Linked DNA regions of Oryzias latipes. The protein of the gene in region 1 binds, or shares a complex with, the protein of each later gene. Links are inferred from orthologs where the notes say so. Each region holds a gene or a part of one and is shown on either strand. Other genes may lie near its edges.

Region 1 (4,150 bases):
CGGAAGCCAGAGGCTCCAGAATGTGATGAAGATCATCGGTCAGTATTGGTTTCTTGCCGCTTTGAAAATGCGCCTGCCTCCATGTCAGGTGCCTTCTCCCTGCGAGCCCCCGAGCAGGCTAAAATCTGCATGAGTGTTAGTGTTGCGCTTCCCGTTTGAAACCGTATAGGCTCATACCAACATCCACATTGACAGTGGGACCAACTAATACGTAGGCATCAGTTAAAGCACAGTATGGCGACGAGAACGGTGAAAGATCTGAACTGGGTTATCCTTCTGATAGACGGTCCCAGCAGAGATCACACGGTACTGTAAAAACCCGCTCCACACCGGCTTTCACCCCACTCTTTTCTTGTGTTCCTTCTGGACCTTAATACATGAACTAAAACCATCATTTGTGTCTTTTCTGTATAACATTAGCTCTCAGAGTCACGCAGTAATTGATGTGTTTTGTTATGTGAAGGTGTCAATATTGTGTGATGCATGTGTCACCTCTGCCCCCTGTCCTGCTTTTCCCTGCTGGCCCCTTAGGAAGATCAGAGGAAGTCTATTGAAATGTATGTTAAAAATAAATGAATAAAAGGACCAACATGTGGGACCAGCAGCACAGAAACATTCACTGCTTTGTTGAAATACTGTTTGTGATGTTAATATTGTTCTTGAAACACGCTGTGTCATGTAGTGGAGATAATAAACTAAAATACACATTAAACCTGATGGAGACTCCATTTTTGTGTTCGATCCCCTCTGGTTTGACTGTGGCCTCTTTTGCCTTATTTTTATTTTTTTGGAGCAAGTAAATGTTTTTAAAGTTCATGTTTTTTTACTTTTATTACCTTCAGTATTTAAATTAATATGCTCTTGTACATTTATAAACCCCTGTCTGGGTTATTCTGTTGGTACAATATTTTGTCACATTACTAGCTGCCTTGTCATTTAGAAAAATCATCCATAAGATTATAATGGACGAAAATTCAGTTTCAGTCAGAAAGAGTTTAAGTGAAATTTAAATAAATTTATGTAAGATTTAAAATGACTTGTTCTTGCCGTGTCATTCATAGCAGCATAAATTACACTTAATATACTTCTACTAGAAACAGAATCCCGCAAGAATATATTTGTTCAAAAGAGGAAGAAATCTCTGGGATCAATTGGATAGGTCAGCCTATCACCACAGGAGGCGCTGTTGAGAAACTGTTTTTTTTAAGTACGTTAAAAAATAACACCCGGGGAGCCGGCGGTGACAGTCATTTTATCTGAAATTGAATTTTACCAGGGTTTTCATTAGACCATTATAACAATGGCGTATTAGAACATTGTGTTACTCTTAAAGAAACTGTAGCTACATATCAGTAATATCTAGACTTTTGCTTTATACGCATTTTGTTTCAGCTGTCACGTGACACACGTGGCTACGTCTGTCGTGTCAACGAGCGCACTACTTTCATTGACAGAAATGGCCACCACGGAAGTGGGTGAGTGAATTCATTGCTCGGTTTCTTTCTATGAGTTTTTAATGTGAACGTTTGTGGAATTAAATGTACTATGTTGTAAATGTTCATGTTGAGACAATAATAGATGATGTAGTTGTTGGTCATTTTTGTCTTGTTATGACGCTCTGATGCTAACAGCTAATTAGCTACATACTGCCTGCTCAAGACAAGTGCAACCAAACAGTTTTATTCTTATATCTTTGTCTTCTAACATTTTAAATCATCTGAAATGTCAACAATGACTTTAATATCTCCCCGGATATAGGTATCAGGATTATTTGGCCGTTTAATTTAACCATTAAAAACAGTTACATATTTGATTGATTTATTTAGAATTTGGAAGAAAGTTTCATAAATTTTTATTTTATTTGAACTTAACTGTCCTTCTATTTAGATGCAAAATGACGAACAATAGCAGTTTTTTAAGCAAGCTGTTTAGTGAAATATAAATCAAATATAAGTTGTTTTTTGTAACCAAAGACATTTGTCTTATGTTGAACAATTAGCAACAACAATGTACTTCTGGCATTTCTCTCAGAGCGCAGACGAGGTCAGCTTGCTGCCCTGTCTATCGCCGCCGTGGTCATCGTCGTTGGGGTCCCCTTGTGGTGGCGAACGACTGAAACCTACCGCGCCTGGTTACCTTTCAGCCAGATAAAAGACCTCTCTAAACTGCAGGTCTGTCTCTGTTCCGGGATATCACCAAACTCCCCGGTTAACGTATCTTCCTTTTGCGTTTGTGTGTTGGAATAGTCTTTATCTCTCCTTGCAGCTGCATTTAAGTGCTGATGTTGAAGTTGTGTTTGCACGGGGCACCCTGACACCTGAGCAGCAGAAGAGGCTCCCCCTGACCCAGACGCAGGATGAGGAGCATGCAGTGGATGGTGACGCACTTTAGAATCCTGGATTTTGAGGTCATGCAGTCCATACCAGCATGAATAACGGTTTCTCCCATTTCTAGAGAACACAGTTTTGAGGTATACTCATGAAATAAAGTACCAAACAGCTACAATTATGGAAGAGGAGGCTCTGGGCAAGCCCACCGCTGCAGGTGAACTACCTACCAAATAGTGTGTTGTGTCAGTGAAACCTCATGTATAGTTACTTCTGTCTGTATCTGTGTCCTTTTCCAGAGGCGGATCTATCTCTGCACATGCTCAGTGAAAGTCCGTGTGGTTCTTCAGTGGTGTATGTGATTCCTGAGGTCTCCTCGCTGCTACCAGAGGTAAAAGCTGTTCATACTTCTATTGTAATAGTGATTTTTTTTTTTTAAACTCATAGCTTTCAGTCATTTTAGTCTCTTGATTGTAAAGAAAACTTTTTAAAATCCTCTTTAGAATGTCAAAGTGTATATTGGTCAACGCCGGACGGCCATCCTACGCATCAATGCTGAGATGAGAGCAGGAAAGACGGTAGAGCAGCTACTGGATGTCCTGAAGCCTCAAATCAAGCAGGTGCTTCAGGTGATGTCTTTTAGTCACACGGACATCACAGCTGCCCTCAGTGATCGAGTCCGTTTCAACCCTGGCAGCAAAGAAAGTATGACTCATAGTATGAGAGCCTTTACATTCAGTCCAGGTTGGTTTTTATCTATGGTTTGGTAACATTTCTTTGCAGTCCTTTTTCCGCTTATATTCTGTGCTTGTCCTTACCTTTTTTAGGTTATGAGATAACTTTCAGTCTGTTGAACCCTGACCCAAGGTCACACAGGCTCCATTGGGACATAGAAGGTGCTGTTCAGACTTACATCCAGCCTTTTCTTACCAAACTTTCTCCTTTGGCCAACTTCAGCATAGACTCTCAGGTACGAGAGGCAGCACTGCACACGTTTCAAAGTTCAGAGTCATCATGAAAAGTCACCCTGCAGCTTTGTTCTTCATTTGCTTTTAACAGATGCTACACTACGCCATGCTGGGTGTCAACCCGCGCTATAACAACGACCGCGGCGCCTTCATACTTCACGCCGACAGCCTTGCTCATGTCATCAACCCAGTGGAGGCCAGACTTGGTAAAACTGTTGTTACTTGCAAATACTGGCGATAGAATACAATGGAAAAAAGGGGAGCCGTTTTTTCTTACGTTAGTCTCATTCAACTCCAGGTTCCAATGCTGCCTCCTCCAACCCGGTGCTGAATTTTCTTCTGTATGTGCCAGACGCCCAGCATTCACCACTTTACATTCAGGACCACAAGAAAATGGATGTTCCTTCGAATGCATTTCACTCTCCGCGTTGGGGGGGGATTATGGTAAGAAGACTGATCTTTGGATGATGTTAAAGACTCACTCTGATCATCTTTTGAGATATTTTAAAAGCCTTCCCAGTGGTCTTTTAAATATAATTGAGTGTTTTTAACTCCAAATAAAATAAAATAAAACGATTGTTTTCGAGGACACAAGGAGCTTGTCTCATCATATATTTTACGTCAAAAAAGGCTCTTTTTTTTTTTTGCCTGCTACTAATTTACAACGATTTGAATGAAGAAATGCAATTCTAAGCTTAAATTTCTCTAAAGTGGGTCTTTAACAGGATGGTACATTTTTTTTCTTACTTTACTTTGTGTTATATAATTTATGCAGCCAAAATGTTCTCTTGTGGAGTAAAATTGGAACAATATACCGGTATATATATATTTTTAAGTATATGTGGGTATAAACTA
Region 2 (3,184 bases), on another chromosome or scaffold:
TACCCCACCGTGGGGGACGTCGCCCTCTACATGGCCTTCCTCCCGCTCTGGAGTCACCTGCACCGCTGTGAGTGTGTGCTCCAGGTTCTGGCGTTCTCTGGCGGCGCCGAGGTTTCTCAAAGGTTTCTGTTCTCCAGTCCTGAGGAACATCTTCCTGGTGTCCTGCGTCCTGCTGGCCTGCTCGGCGCTGTTCCCGGTCCTCTGGCACCTCTGGATCTACGCCGGCAGCGCCAACTCCAACTTCTACTACGCCATAACGCTGCTGTTCAACGTGGCGCAGGTAAGGAGCGGCCTGAGGGGGGCGCTGTCAGGTTCAGCTGAGAAAGGGGCCAGCAGATTCTATATTCATGAGGACGTGAGAATATTTTAAAGGGCCTATATTATACTTTTCGCAAGCTTTTCATAGTAAACTATATTCATTCATCTATAATATGTTCCCGCTAAATAACAAACTTTTTATTAAATATTAATTTTTCCTACCCAGAAGTAAGACGACTGGATCTTTGGGGCTCCGCCTTTCTCTCTTTGTGGGTTCCGCCCATTTCATGACATCATCCTAGAGCCGGCCTCTGCAGCGTGTCTGCGATTTTCCCACGAAAACAAACACCGCCGTACAAAGACGGATGTGTGTATTGTGCCTAGAGAAGGAAAGCGTTTAGCCGATCACCGCTAGCTCCACAGAGAAAGTGTCCAAATTCCCGCCCTAACTACTAAAAAACGAGGAGGTGCCCTGAATTTTGAAAACAATTCAGACGCCACACTCACTCCTTTTTTTTTTTTTTAACGGCAGATGTGACGTCATTGATTTCACAAAGTTAAAATCTAATTAATGAGCGTTCTGGGAGGATTATTTATGATCCACTGTCTTCTGAAGATAAAAACGTTGATGGTTTATTAAAAAAATAAATTTTTTTTGCAAAAGTTGTTCCAATGCAATGCATTGTGGTCTATATTCACCGATCTAGTGGTTTTTCGCAGAGACTTCTGGGAAATTTCTAGGGCTCTGGATTTTGGAATTGTAGATTCAGACACTATAGAATGATAAACGCACTATAGATGCTCTATGTAGAGGTCAGGGTGGGAATTTGAACATGGCCTGGGCGTGTGTGTTAGCCTGGGGGCGGAGCCTGCAGCACAGACTCTTCCTGGAAGGGGCGGTTCCTCACTTTGTGACATCACAATGTGAGAACCAGCTCGTCGTGGATTGGGAGGGGCAGGTCCTCAGAAAGCAGTTTTATAGAGGAATTACAGCTTTGGGGATGTTTATGGTGAGGAATGAACATTAGAAGACACTTAAAAGCTCCAAAAGTGGATTTAGCATGAAAAGGTTTATAGATGGATGAAGTTTTCTCTTAGATCTGCAGATGCAGCAAACAGACTTCTGAGGAAACCAAAACACTTTCACACTTCGTTCTTCTTTCTTTCTTAGATCCTGCTGGTGTCGGATTATTTCTACGCCTTCCTGCGGAGGGAACACCACCTCACCTATGGGCTGTACCTGAAGAAGAAGGACGGCTCGGAAGCAACGCTGGTCCTGAAGTAAACCCCCCCCTGAGCGTCTGCAGGGACAGACGGTGGAGCTCCTCTTCACGCTCGAGGAGGAGACGGCGTCCGAAGCCGCACCGCTCCTCCGACGGACCGAAGCCGCCCGTGCAGAGGCGGCGGTGCAGCTTGATGCAGCTGAGCTGCTGCGGCTGCAGGACCTGAGACACGTGCTCCATGCAGACCTGCGGGTCCTTCTGTTCTGGAGTGCTCTTATTTTGAAGCTTCTTTCCAGTGGAACAAGCAAAGCTTTTATTTTACAGACTATTTAACCCGCTCTGTTGGACTTTATTTTGACTTTTTTTTTAAACACTCCTCTGCAATGAGCTTTTACTTTGAAAGCTTCCTCTTCCTTTGAAGTCAAACAAGTTGGAAAAATAAGTATTTCTGACTAAACCTGTATTGTAACCTATTTTATAAACTGGACGGAAAAATGTGAACGGAAGCTTCATTTACAGACTTCTATAAATCAAACCGTTAGAGTTTTCAACCTTTTCCTCGTTTTGTGTCGATGCTGCCGGGACTCGACTCGTTCATCTGATCAATACTGATTTATGGATCCTCACTGATCAGACGGCAACAGCAGGGCAGCTGGAGAGAATTTCAAATTTAACGTTTAAACTTTTTCATTTCTGCTTGATTGTAGATACAGACGGATTTCTGAGTTTGATCATTTTCCTGGTAAAACAGCAGAATAAAGAGATTTAATCCAAATTTAATCCAGATTATGTTTGAAATCTGTGGTCTTTAACACTGTGGACTACAGCACATGTATGGCAACAAAACAGAGTTATAAAGGCTTTATTTCTGTAAATGTAATCTTTTAAAAAGAAAACTGTGTCTGGAGTTTGACGTTTTTCCTAATGTGAGCAGAATAATATCTGAGTCTGGAGTCATTAGCGTGAAGAAGGTCGTTCTCCGTGTCTGGGTTGTTTTCACATTAACTTCAGGTCTTCCTTTGCTGATCCTCCGAGTCTCCGCAGGTCAGACAACCACAGCTAGAGTCTAGTAATTGAACTACAAACCCAGGAGTTTAGAAAGGCATGTCATTCTTTTATATACTCTGGTACTTTTGGTTTGAACTGATATTTACTTTTTTTATGTTTCATTTGTGAATAAAAGTGTCAAATGTTGGTCATTTAACTTTTCTTAATTTAGTTTGTATACATATTTAAAAAAAAACTGTTTCATCAAAAATATCTGAAGTGCAAGCTGTGGATTTTTAGACATTTGTCCATCTTATCACAAAAACGTCCTTCCTTCATGTCCACAGAATCCAACATGATCAGCTTTTGGAGCAGCAGGAATCTCCTTTGATGGATGTTGGAAGTCAGTTTAAAGATCGCAGACAGAGAAGGACCATCTGGATCTTCTGGTTCTGCTGTAAAGAACTCAACATCATCACAGACCTCTGGAGGCACACGGCCAGGACATTGTTTTCGGGCTCAATCAGACGTTTGTTGTTCACGCATGCGCAGATAAGCAGCTCCTTGCTGGATGCATTTCTATCGGTGGCCTGTAGATGGCAGCATCGTTCTGAACAGAATCCTTTCAGGTGGTTCGGAGAACCACTCTGCTTTGCTCCAGCAGGTAAATCACTTCCATCTCACTTGAGTTGTTTTTGTCTGCGTCTATAGCTACA

What was found.
Region 2: the proteins of pigs (region 1) and pigu are in contact, whole or in part, in a cryo-EM structure (PDB 8IMX), measured with the Homo sapiens proteins. The link is inferred for Oryzias latipes from reciprocal best matches to the Homo sapiens genes PIGS and PIGU. Residues at the interface, in NP_149975.1 of Homo sapiens: Ala4, Gly5, Ala8, Thr9, Glu12, Arg15, Arg18, Ala19, Phe22, Phe23, Val26, Leu30, Leu34, Trp35, Thr38, Thr39, Leu510, Leu511, Phe513, Ile521, Tyr522, Leu525, Phe526; in NP_536724.1 of Homo sapiens: Gln118, Phe282, Glu283, His284, Phe285, Leu287, Phe288, Phe289, Cys291, Val292, Phe293, Ile295, Phe299, Tyr300, Ile302, Pro303, Ile306, Lys307, Lys309, Glu310, Thr417, His418.

Annotation. Positions count from the first base shown.
Region 1 is NC_019872.2:12,613,455-12,617,604, reverse strand, and holds the start of pigs (GPI transamidase component PIG-S), read left to right. Parts: upstream 1-1,343; 5' UTR 1,344-1,456; coding exon 1,457-1,475; intron 1,476-2,031; coding exon 2,032-2,171; intron 2,172-2,265; coding exon 2,266-2,377; intron 2,378-2,454; coding exon 2,455-2,544; intron 2,545-2,626; coding exon 2,627-2,718; intron 2,719-2,830; coding exon 2,831-3,071; intron 3,072-3,154; coding exon 3,155-3,297; intron 3,298-3,386; coding exon 3,387-3,501; intron 3,502-3,593; coding exon 3,594-3,739; intron 3,740-4,150. UniProt on the Homo sapiens protein: Component of the glycosylphosphatidylinositol-anchor (GPI-anchor) transamidase (GPI-T) complex that catalyzes the formation of the linkage between a proprotein and a GPI-anchor and participates in GPI anchored protein biosynthesis.
Region 2 is NC_019863.2:32,751,683-32,754,866, reverse strand, and holds the end of pigu (phosphatidylinositol glycan anchor biosynthesis class U protein), read left to right. Parts: coding exon 1-67; intron 68-137; coding exon 138-280; intron 281-1,429; coding exon 1,430-1,543; 3' UTR 1,544-2,676; downstream 2,677-3,184. UniProt on the Homo sapiens protein: Component of the glycosylphosphatidylinositol-anchor (GPI-anchor) transamidase (GPI-T) complex that catalyzes the formation of the linkage between a proprotein and a GPI-anchor and participates in GPI anchored protein biosynthesis.